3 linked regions of the Macaca mulatta genome follow. Each later gene encodes a partner of the first gene's protein in a complex. Links are inferred from orthologs where the notes say so. Each region holds a gene or a part of one and is shown in the gene's direction. Other genes may lie near its edges.

Region 1 (2,424 bases):
GTAGCTGAGATTATAGGCGCCTGCCACTATGCCCGGCTAATTTTTGTATTTTTACCAGAGACGTGGTTTCACCATTTTGGCCAGGCTAGTCTTGAACTCCTGACCTCGTGATTCACCCACCTCTGTCTCCCAAAGTGCTGGGATTACTGGCGTGAGCCACCACACCCAGCCAGTTGTTTTGTTTTGAATGTCATTTCCTCTAGCCTTTTTTAGGGTCTTGATCCTGTTCTCTGTTATATTTTCTGCTTCTGTGTTTTGATTTTAATTATCCCCATTGTTTTCATCTCTCCAGTTTTAAAGGAAGAACAAATTACCACCCAGTCTCCTCCTTTTCAGAGTGAAACTCATAAAAAGTTGTTGATAAATGCCAGGGATCACAAGGCCCACAGGCCGCATCCAACAGGTGGCCTGTTTTTGCACTGCCCACAAGCTAAGAATATTTTTACACTTCAGGTTTGTTTAAAAATAAGCAACAGAGACCTTGGTGGCCTATAAGCTTAAAATATTTACTAATTACTCTTTTTTGTAATTTTTCTTTACAAAGTTTCTTTACAAAAACTTCGCTGACTCCTGAATATGCTGTTTCAATTTCCAAGATTACTTCAAGGCTCAATCTGAGCCCCCGTTCTGTCTTTATAATTTCTCTATAGGTGATTTCTGACCTGTGTATAGCTTCACTAGCAACCTCTGTGTAGTCAACTCACAAACTTATATATCTATCCCAAAGCCTCTTTCTCCAGACTCATATATTCAGCAGCTATATCTTTATGTAGCTATCCCAGAGATAACATATACTCAAGCATACTAAAAATTAAATTTAGGATCATATCCAAAACTGATACTCTTTAATTTTCTCTCTGTCAGTGGCTAAACCGTCCAAACAGAAATAAAAGAAACTTGGAAGCTGTCCCTGAATCATGCTTCTTCCTTACTACCATGACTAAACCCAATAAATTTTAACCATGAAATCTCTTACATTTACCTACTGCTTCGTCTCTACCAGTTTATCCTCCTACAAGCTTTCATTAACTCTTGCTCGAATTACTGATGGACCAACTAGTGTCTCTAGATCCCCTCTTTAACATCTCCAGTCTACTTTCCATATCACAGCTAGAATGATAGTTTTGAAATACAAGACTAATTGCTTTACATCCTGCTTCACACACAGTAATGACTTCACTGGTCTTGAAGTGCATATTTTTTAAATTTGATCCACCAGGCTTTGCGTGGTCTGGCTTCTATTAATCTTGCAAGGATTGTATTGTTTTATTTTGTTTGTTTGTTTGTTTCTTGATTGCACTTGTAGTGAGCTGCTTCCAGTCTTCTAGTTATATGCTCTTCCCTTGTGAGTATTTGAGGCCTGTATCTTCTTTCCTATCCTTTTGCATATTTAATGCTGTTTATCCCTAGAGCTAAACTCAAACCTTTTCTGACCTCCGTAAGTGGCTCAAATTTTCCTTCTTTTATGCTCTCATTGCATCTTACATCTCTCTTTCATAGCAGCCATTACAATGATAATTTGTCATTTATTGGTGTGATGAGTAGATGAATGCCCATCTCCTATGCTTTTATCTTGGATTAGGATGAAAGTACCATATGTTCAGTATTCTGTCCTCAGCACCAATTACTGTACCTGGTACAGATACTGAGAATTTGAAAACAGAAGTTAGAGTATTGATGGTGCAAATTTTCTTGCACGTAGGAGGAAGTCCAAGATAGCAGTGGTAGGAATTTGCTGAGGATAGGGAGTAGGACCTGAGAAGAGAGCTACTTTATGATGCAGTGGACCAAGAAAGATGCCTTCATTTTTATGTGTTGCAGATTGGTTATACAAGTGTTCAGTTCAGAAACTGGTTGTAGTTATCTCAAATATTGAAAGTGGTGAGGTCCTGGAAAGATGGCAGTTTGATATTGAGTGTGACAAGACTGCAAAAGATGACAGGTAAGTAGGAATTACATTATTTCTACTTTGATATATTTTTTCAAAACTTGTTTTTATTACCAATTGAGTTCTAATTATATTGAACTAGTTTTATATAAAATATAGTTTGTTTCTAATTTATATTTTCTAAGATATCCTCAGTCACCTGTGGAAAAGAATTGTCGGTTTAACATATCATTGATTTGTATATATATAATTGCCTTTAGTCTAAATCAGCAATTTTCAAACAGTATTTATGGTGGTATATACAAAACTACACATGATATACTAGATGAACCATTTAATGAATTGTTCTAAGATGTTTTTAACTATAAGGAATTATATTAGATTCACACAATTTATGATGTAGCTCTGCTGTACTTCCTTTAATGCCATCTACTTCCTAAGACACTTGATAAATTTCTGAAAGTTCCAGACTCCCTGGAAGAGAAGTGTCTGTCTTTATACTCTAATGTTTAGCATTGTCCTAGGCATGCTTTTCT
Region 2 (4,102 bases), on another chromosome or scaffold:
GAGTAGCTGGGATTACAGGTGCATGCCACCATGCCCAGCTAATTTTTGTATTTTTAGTAGAGACAGGATTTCACCATGTTGGCCAGGCTGGTCTCAAACTCCTGACCTTGTGATCCACCTGCCTTGGCCTCCCAAAGTGCTGGTATTACAGGTGTGAGCAGCCACGCCCGGCCTCTTGTCAGTCTATTTCTATTCCTCCTCCTCCTTGTAAATCAATCACCAAGTTATGTTCACTGGACCTCCTAAATATATCGAGTTACCCAATTATCTCCACCCCACTGTGACTACCCTAGCAGTTTAGGCTGCTTTCATCAAGTACTCAGGTAATTGCACTACCTCTAACTGGTATCCCTGCCTCCTCTCTTATCCTCTCTGTAATCCAATCTCTACCCTGCAGCCAGGGTAGAGATTATAAGATGTAAATTTAATCATGCCACTCTCCTACTTAAACCTTTCAAAGCTTCCCCATCTGACTACAGGATCAAGTCCAAACTCTCACATGGCTTACACAGTCCTGCCATGATCTGGCTCCTGTTGTTCACTACAGCCTTAACTCTTTATAATATGAACTCTTTTCATTCCTTGAACAGAGTATGCTCTTGTCTCAAGGTCTCCTGGAGCACTGGGCCCTCCTCTTTACCTTGCTGACTTATCCTACAGGTCACAGCTTCACACATTTCTTCTGGGACCACTCCTTCCCAGCCCCTACCCTCTCTGGGTCAGGCACCCTTGTTTTTCACTTCCACACCCCGTGTAAACCCTTCTGTATAATTCATCACATTGTATGGTATCTACAGGCAGTGAACCCCTTGAGTACAGGGTCCGCGCCTGGCTTGTTCTCCGCTGAGTCTCCAGCACCTAGGACAGGGCCTGGCACGAAGTAGGTGCACAGTGAGTAGTGAATGCTGGAGTGAATGGATGCGTGAGGGTTGGTGTCTTTTGGAAAGCAGCGCTCATTGGCTGAGAACGCCTGGGTTCTTGCTGGGCAAGGGTTAGGCGTATATTTGCCAGGGTGTTAAGGAAGGAACGGAGGGATCAAATCCCAACTCCACTTAGCCTCCCCAACACTGCCGTGGCGCCGCGCCTTTTTTCCGGCCCAACTGAACCGGAAGTGGAGGCGCGGGCTTCCCATGATGCCCCGCGGGACCTTTATTCTAACCGCAAGGAGTAAGGGGAGGAGGTCGTGATGGCGGCGCCGGAGGCGGAGGTTCTGTCCCCAGCCTCAGTCCCTGGTAAGGCGTGGGGCCCAGAGTTTGGGAAGCCTTAGGGACCCGTTTCTTCCCTACCTCCGCGCCCTCCATTTATCCCTTGGTCCTCTCCCTAGCCCATCTTCCCTGTCTTCCGGGTGTCCTACAAGGCTCTAGCTGTGACTCCATCGCCGTGGGTCGCACTGGACCCTGCTTGACTACACTTTTGACTCATTTCCCCAGATCAAGTCCCGCTGCTTTCTGAGCGGGGAGCCCTAGTTACTACCTCCGAAATACCCCCACTATCTTTCAGTCAATTAAATCTCCTCAGGCAACAGGGATCAGGAATCTCTCCCTGCCACGGCCCACACTGTAGGCTGCGGAGGGTATGGGCGTATGTCGGAGTGCCTGCTTTCTCAGGGTGGCTGGTTTGGTGGCCACAGGGAATGAGAAGACTGACTTTGGCTTTTAGGTTTTAAATTTTTCTCTCTTGTCCCTCTTTTCATCTACCAGATTTGGAGTGGTATGAGAAGTCAGAAGAAACTCACGCCTCCCAGATAGAACTGCTTGAGACAAGCTCTACCCAGGAACCTCTCAACCCTTCGGAGCCCTTTTGCCCAAGAGACTGCATAGTACCAGTGGTGTTTCCTGGGCCTGTAAGCCAGGAAGGCTGCTGTCAGTTTACTTGTGAACTTCTAAAGCATATCATGTACCAACGCCAGCAACTCCCTCTGCCCTATGAACAGCTTAAGAACTTTTACCGAAAACCTTCTCCCCAGGTAGGCACAGGCTTTGGGAGCAAGTTGGTGGGAAGACTTTGTGGCTCTTAGATGGGAGGCAGGTAGAAAGGGGGTCTAAGAAATCTTCAGAGCCTGAGAGACTAAGCAGCTTCCAGGGCTTCAGTCACTTTCTCCCCATTCTAGTCTTTGGTAGCCTAACCCTTCTGGCTTTTTCTCCTGTTCTTTCTTTCTGAAACTCGTGTTGCATTTGGTCTTAATGAACTGGCTCTTCGCATTTTTTTCTTTTGAGACAGAGTCTCGCTCTGTTGCCCAGGCTGGAGTGCAGTGGTGAGATCTTGGCTCACTGCAATCTCCCCCTCCTGGGTTCAAGGGATTCTCCTGCCTCAGCCTCCTGAGTTGCTAGGATTACAGGCTCCCGCCACCACACCCAGCTAATTTTTGTATTTTATGTTTTGAGACAGAGTCTTGCTCTGTTGCCCAGGCTGGAATGCAATGGCGTGATCTCTGCTCACTGCAACCTCTGCCTCCCAGGTTCAAGCGATTCTTGTGCTTCAGCCTCCCCAGTAGCTAAGAGCACGTGCCACCATGCCCGGTTTATTTTTGTATTTTTGGTACAGATGGAGTTTCACCATGTTGGCCAGGCTAGTCTCGAACTCCTGACCTCAAGTGATCTGCCCGCCTTGGCCTCTCCCAAAATGCTGGGATTACAGGCGTGAAATACTGCGCCCGGCCTGCATGTTTCTTTTTAATAGCATCCTGTTGTTGAATTTCTGTATGAACTTTTTTTTGCTTTGTTGTTTTTTTTTTTTTTGAGATGGAGTCTCACTTTGTCACCCAGGCTGGAGGAGAGTGGCACTATCGCAGATCACTGCAACCTCAGTCTCCCAGGTTCAAGTGATTCTCCTGCCTCAGCCTCCCAAGTAGCTGGGATTACAGGCATGCACCACCACACCTGGCTAATTTTGTTTGTTTGTTTGTTTTTGATAGGGAGTTTCATTCTTGTCACCCAGGCTGGAGTGCAGTGGCGCCATCTCGGCTCACTGCAACCTCTGTCTCCCAGGTTCAGGCGCTTCTCCTGTCTCAGCCTCCTAAGTAGCTGGGATTATAGGCATGCGCCGCCATGTCCAAATAATTTTTGTATTTTTAGTATAGACAGGGTTTCACCATGTTGGCCAGGCTGGTCTCGAACTCCTGACCTCAGGTGATCTGCCTGCCTCAGCCTCCCAAAGTGCTGGGATTACAGGCATGAGCCACCATGCCCAGCCTGTTTGTTTTCTGAGACAGAGTCTCGCTCTGTTGCCCAGGCTGGAGTGCAGTGGAGCGATTTTGGCTCACTGCAACCTCCACCTTCTGGGTTCCAAGCGATTCTCCTGCCTCAGCCTCCCAAGTAGCTGGGATTACAGGTGTGTACCACCACACCCAGTTAAATTTTGTATTTTTAGTGGAGACGGGGTATCGCCATTTTGGCTAAGCTGCTCTCAAACTCTGACCTCAAGTGATCTGCCCATCTTGGCCTCCCAAAGTGCTGGGATTACAGGTGTGAGCCACCACGCCTGGCTTACCCAGCTAATTTTTGTTTTTTTAGTAGAAACGGAGTTTCACCATGTTGGCCAGGCTGGTCCCAAACTCTTGACCTCAGGTGATCCACCTGCCTCAGTCTCCCGAAGTGGTGTTGGGATTACAGGTGTGAGCCACCGCACCAGGCCATGAACTTCTTTTGCCTGAGGATATTATTTAATTTTTGAAGTTTTTCTTTGTTCTTTGCGGCATCTCAGTTTCTTCTAGAATCCATTCTCCATTTGTTTTGTTCTGGTCTTTGACTTTCATGTTGGAGAATTTTATTGTGTCTGGTGAATATTTAAGAACAAATCACTGCAAGCTCTGTGTGCATGCCTGGGCCTTATGAGCTTATAGACTTCACTATAAGGAGATTAGGTGGCAACCTGGTGATCTCTTTGGGGGGATTCCTTAAACATAGTATTGGAAAGTCTTCCCTCTGGATGGGGGAGAAATTTGGCAGATGATCTAAGCATCTTGACACAGATTTTCATTCATTTCCCCTATATTCATTCTTGCCTCTGTGGTGCCTGTATCACCACTTCCTAAACCTTTCTGGGGTTCTGCTGTGTGTATCAGTTTGCATCCCTTGGGAGTCCCTTCTGTCAGCACTTGGTA
Region 3 (3,648 bases), on another chromosome or scaffold:
GGGCTCTGGGACCACGATTGCCCACGGCTGACGGGCTCCAGCCCCACTCAGGCGCCCTGCAGTGGGCACGGCCCAGGCCAGGCCTCGCCGTCCTTCAGGGACTTGGAGAGCAGTGGCCCACCACAGCCTGGGCTCTGGGAGGCTGGAGGCTTACTGCGCCTGGTCGCTTCACTTCATGGGATGTGTCCACACCGGCCTCTCTCCTGAGAGCGTGGGGTGACCCGAACACATGAAATGTTTCCCTGTTCCCCTTTGGGAGATAGGACAGTGTGCGGACAGAAGCCCCAAGGGCGGCGGGAACTCATTGCCAAAGGGGAGGAGGCCATTGCTAAGCACGGAGCTGGCCTGGCTCCCTGGCACACCCCTCATTCACGGGGGCTGGTGGTGTCTGGGCCTGAGGGACGGGGTGCCCACCCAGTCTCACTGCCCCACAGCTGACAGCCACGAACAGCAGAGTTTCAGCACTTGGCGGGAGCCCTGGCCCGTGTGTGTGTGTGTGCGCGCCTCTGGCCCCAGCCCCGTCCCTGGCCCGTGTGTGTGTGTACCTCTGGCCCCGTCCCTGGCCCGTGTGTGTGTGTACCTCTGGCCCCGTCCCTGGCCCGTGTGTGTGTGTACCTCTGGCCCCGCTCCTAGCCCATGTGTGTGTGTGTACCTCTGGCCCCGGTCCTAGCCCGTGTGTGTGTGTGCCTCTGGCCCCGGTCCTAGCCCATGTGTGTGTGTGTGCCTCTGGCCCCGGTCCTAGCCCGTGTGTGTGTGTGCCTCTGGCCCCAGTCCTAGCCCATGTGTGTGTGTGTGCCTCTGGCCCCGGTCCTAGCCCATGTGTGTGTGTGTGCCTCTGGCGCTGGCTCTGGCCCGTGTGTGCGTGTGTCTCTGGCCCCGGTCCTAGCCTGTGTGTGTGTGTCTCTGGCCCCGGTCCTAGCCCATGTGTGTGTGTGTGTCTCTGGTCCCGGTCCTAGCCCTTGTGTGTGTGCCTGCCTCTGGCCCCGGTCCTAGCCCGTGTGTGTGTGTGCCTCTGGCCCCGGCTCTGGCCCATGTGTGTGTGTGCCTCTGGCCCTGGTCCTAGCCCGTGTGTGTGTGTGCCTCTGGCCCCGGCTCTGGCCCATGTGTGTGTGTGTCTCTGGCCCCGGTCCTAGCCCATGTGTGTGTGTCTCTGGCCCAGGTCCTAGCCCATGTGTGTGTGTGCCTCTGGCCCCAGTCCTAGCCTGTGTGTGTGTGTCTCTGGCCCTGGTCCTAGCCCATGTGTGTGTGTGTCTCTGGCCCCGGTCCTAGCCCACGTGTGTGTGTGTCTCTGGCCGTGGTCCTAGCCCGTGTGTGTGTGTCTCTGGCCCCGGTCCTAGCCTGTGTGTGTGTGTCTCTGGCCCTGGTCCTAGCCCATGTGTGTGTGTGTCTCTGGCCCCGGTCCTAGCCTGTGTGTGTGTGTCTCTGGCCCCAGTCCTAGTCCGTGTTTGTGTGTGTGCCACTAGCCCCGACCCGGGCCCATGTGTGTGCGCCTTTTCATGTGTTTATCAGCTTTCTGGGTGTCTCTCTTTGGGAAGTATCTGCTCACATTTTTGACTCATTTTTAGAGTGGGTTGTCTGACATGCCCTTGGTTATTTCTGAGTTCTTCGTATGTTCTGGATCTGAACCCTTTCTCAGAAATGTGATTTTCAGACAGCACCACCTGCTCTGTGGGTGCCTTTCCACTGTTGCGGTGGATGAAGTTCTTGACTTGTATAAGGTCAGTTGTACTCTTTTTTTTTTTTTTTCTTTTACGGCCACTACTTCCTGAACCCTATTTGAGAAAGCTGTGTCTACTCCCAGGAGACAGAACGTGGTGGAACCGATGTTTATGTGTGGCATGAGGTCGCGGTCTCGGGGTGCGCAGTGACCCTGCACTTCCCTGCCCCGGGCGGCTGTTCCCTGCTGCAGGACGGCTGTCCCCTGCCCCGGGCGGCTGTCCCCTGCTGCAGGACGGCTGTCCCCTGCCCCGGGTGGCTGTCCCCTGCCCCGGGTGGCTGTTCACTGCCCTGGGTGGCTGTCCCTTGCTGCAGGACAGCTGTCCCCTGCCCCGGGGGGCTGTCCCCTGTCCCGGGCAGCTGTCCCCTGCTGCAGGACGGCTGTCCCCTGCCCTGGGCGGCTGTCCCCTGCTGCAGGGCTGCGTGATGCTCATTGCTGGGGGTCGGTCACCTACCACAGGTCAGCAGGCTGGGCCTCCAGGCGCACTCCTACCTCAAGGATGCCACACACGTCCCCGCCCTGGGTTTCACGGGAGCATCAGGTCGCAAGGCACGTTCCTGAGCCACCCACGCCGGTGCCAGGCTCCCTTGCCCTCCATCTCTGTGTGGTTGACCTTGTTTCTCTTGTGGCACGGGGCACCTTCCAGGCTGGCCGGGAAGAGATGGGAACATGGCCACACGGGCTCCAAGCCTCCTCCCAGCCAGAAACCTCAGAGAAGAGGAAGCCTCCCTCCCAGGCACTAAGCATGGAACTCTGGGAAGTGCTGCGCTTCGCTGAACCAGGGCCGTGTCCCCTCTCACCCTCTTCCTGTGGTTAGGCAGAAGGGACCCAGCAGGTGGCCAGGCCTTGGTCCTGCACCTGTCCACAGGGCACAGGGAAGAAGCCATTCCTTCAAGGAGAGACGGCTGCCAGGCAGGCTCAAAAAGACAAAATAACTGAGCACTGTGCTGTGTGTGACCTGTGCTGCACGTGTGCCTGGGCCATGGTGACATGTGCTGCGTGTGACCCGTGCCACATATCTTCCTGGGCCATGGTGACCCGTGCTGTGTGTGTTCCTGCAGGGTGACTATGACCAGAGCAGGACCAAAGTGCTGCACATGAGCCTGAACCCCGCCAGTGTGGCCAGGCAGCGCCTGCGTGAGGACCACAGCCAGCTGCAGGCAGAGTGCGAGCGACTGCGAGGGCTCCTGCGCGCCATGGAGAGAGGTGGCACCGTCCCAACCGACCTTGAGGCTGCTGCCGCGAGTCTGCCATCATCCAAGGAGGTGGCAGGTAGGCACCCCCCACCCCCAGCCCCCACCATCTTTGACCTTCTGTGGGTAGGTCCATCTGCGCGCTCTTGGGGCAGCCTCTGGCTGTCACCTGCCTGTCATCCCCAGAGGGTCTGTCTTCCCCTGTGGGCAGCCAGGCCTGGTGGTTGCTGGAGCGGAGCACCCCGGCCCCGTGTCCCCATGCACCTGCAGGGTTGTGCAAACAGGTGGAGCTGTCCAAGTTTGCAGGCAGCAGTGGAGAAACAAGGGGCTGAAATCTTAGGCCCTTAAACAAATTCGTATCATTTGTTAGTTTATACACACACCATTAATCACAAGTAAATCTAATCCTCTCCAAAAACAAGTCCGTCTCTCACCAGCCTAAGTGCGCCTCACGAAGTCCAGAGAGCCCTTTGCAGCGAAGGCCTGCGGCGCTTCAGGGAAGAGTGGGGCCTCCACGAGGGCCAGCGGGGCCTGCCCGCACCCTCCAGGTCTAAGTCAGGCCCGCAGCCTTTGGCATGCCGGCCTATCCCCTGATGTGGTGAGGTGGTGCTTTTCATCCGATGACACCCTCTCCTGTTTCTTCCCACCTACTTGCCATCGCACCCTGTACTGTGGGAGAGCATTCCCCGTGAGCCTGCAGGTGCAGAGGTTGTGTGGCGGTCGCTTTTCCCCTTCCTG

Evidence for each region.
Region 2: the proteins of MAD2L1 (region 1) and MAD2L1BP are in contact, whole or in part, in a crystal structure (PDB 2QYF), measured with the Homo sapiens proteins. The link is inferred for Macaca mulatta from reciprocal best matches to the Homo sapiens genes MAD2L1 and MAD2L1BP. Residues at the interface, in NP_002349.1 of Homo sapiens: Tyr33, Arg45, Thr52, Leu54, Lys122, Asp126, Glu127, Arg129, Ser130, Arg133, Gln134, Thr136, Ala137, Thr138, Thr140, Phe141, Leu142, Leu144, Glu179, Val181, Arg182, Leu183, Arg184, Tyr199, Asp205; in NP_055443.1 of Homo sapiens: Pro61, His79, Tyr82, Gln83, Gln85, Pro88, Leu89, Pro90, Gln93, His96, Ala185, Leu187, Arg188, Phe191, Arg192, Phe195, Asp198, Ala199, Phe200, Ser201, Glu202, Leu203, Gln204, Ala205.
Region 3: the proteins of MAD2L1 (region 1) and MAD1L1 are in contact, whole or in part, in a crystal structure (PDB 1GO4), measured with the Homo sapiens proteins. The link is inferred for Macaca mulatta from reciprocal best matches to the Homo sapiens genes MAD2L1 and MAD1L1. Residues at the interface, in NP_002349.1 of Homo sapiens: Tyr38, Leu61, Tyr64, Asn67, Val68, Trp75, Gln82, Lys83, Ser89, Ile91, Glu92, Ser93, Gly94, Arg99, Gln101, Ser150, Phe151, Asp152, Leu153, Leu154, Ile155, Tyr156, Thr157, Asp158, Lys159, Asp160, Leu161, Val163, Lys166, Trp167; in NP_001013858.1 of Homo sapiens: Glu527, Arg528, Ala530, Leu531, Gln532, Gly533, Asp534, Tyr535, Gln537, Ser538, Arg539, Thr540, Lys541, Val542, Leu543, His544, Met545, Ser546, Leu547, Asn548, Pro549, Thr550, Ala553, Arg554, Leu557.

Annotation. Positions count from the first base shown.
Region 1 is NC_133410.1:128,904,239-128,906,662, reverse strand, and holds part of MAD2L1 (mitotic spindle assembly checkpoint protein MAD2A), read left to right. Parts: intron 1-1,821; coding exon 1,822-1,942; intron 1,943-2,424. UniProt on the Homo sapiens protein: Component of the spindle-assembly checkpoint that prevents the onset of anaphase until all chromosomes are properly aligned at the metaphase plate.
Region 2 is NC_133409.1:138,483,115-138,487,216, reverse strand, and holds the start of MAD2L1BP (MAD2L1-binding protein), read left to right. Parts: upstream 1-1,167; 5' UTR 1,168-1,186; coding exon 1,187-1,232; intron 1,233-1,700; coding exon 1,701-1,966; intron 1,967-4,102. UniProt on the Homo sapiens protein: May function to silence the spindle checkpoint and allow mitosis to proceed through anaphase by binding MAD2L1 after it has become dissociated from the MAD2L1-CDC20 complex.
Region 3 is NC_133408.1:35,900,797-35,904,444, reverse strand, and holds part of MAD1L1 (mitotic spindle assembly checkpoint protein MAD1), read left to right. Parts: intron 1-2,778; coding exon 2,779-2,989; intron 2,990-3,648. UniProt on the Homo sapiens protein: Component of the spindle-assembly checkpoint that prevents the onset of anaphase until all chromosomes are properly aligned at the metaphase plate.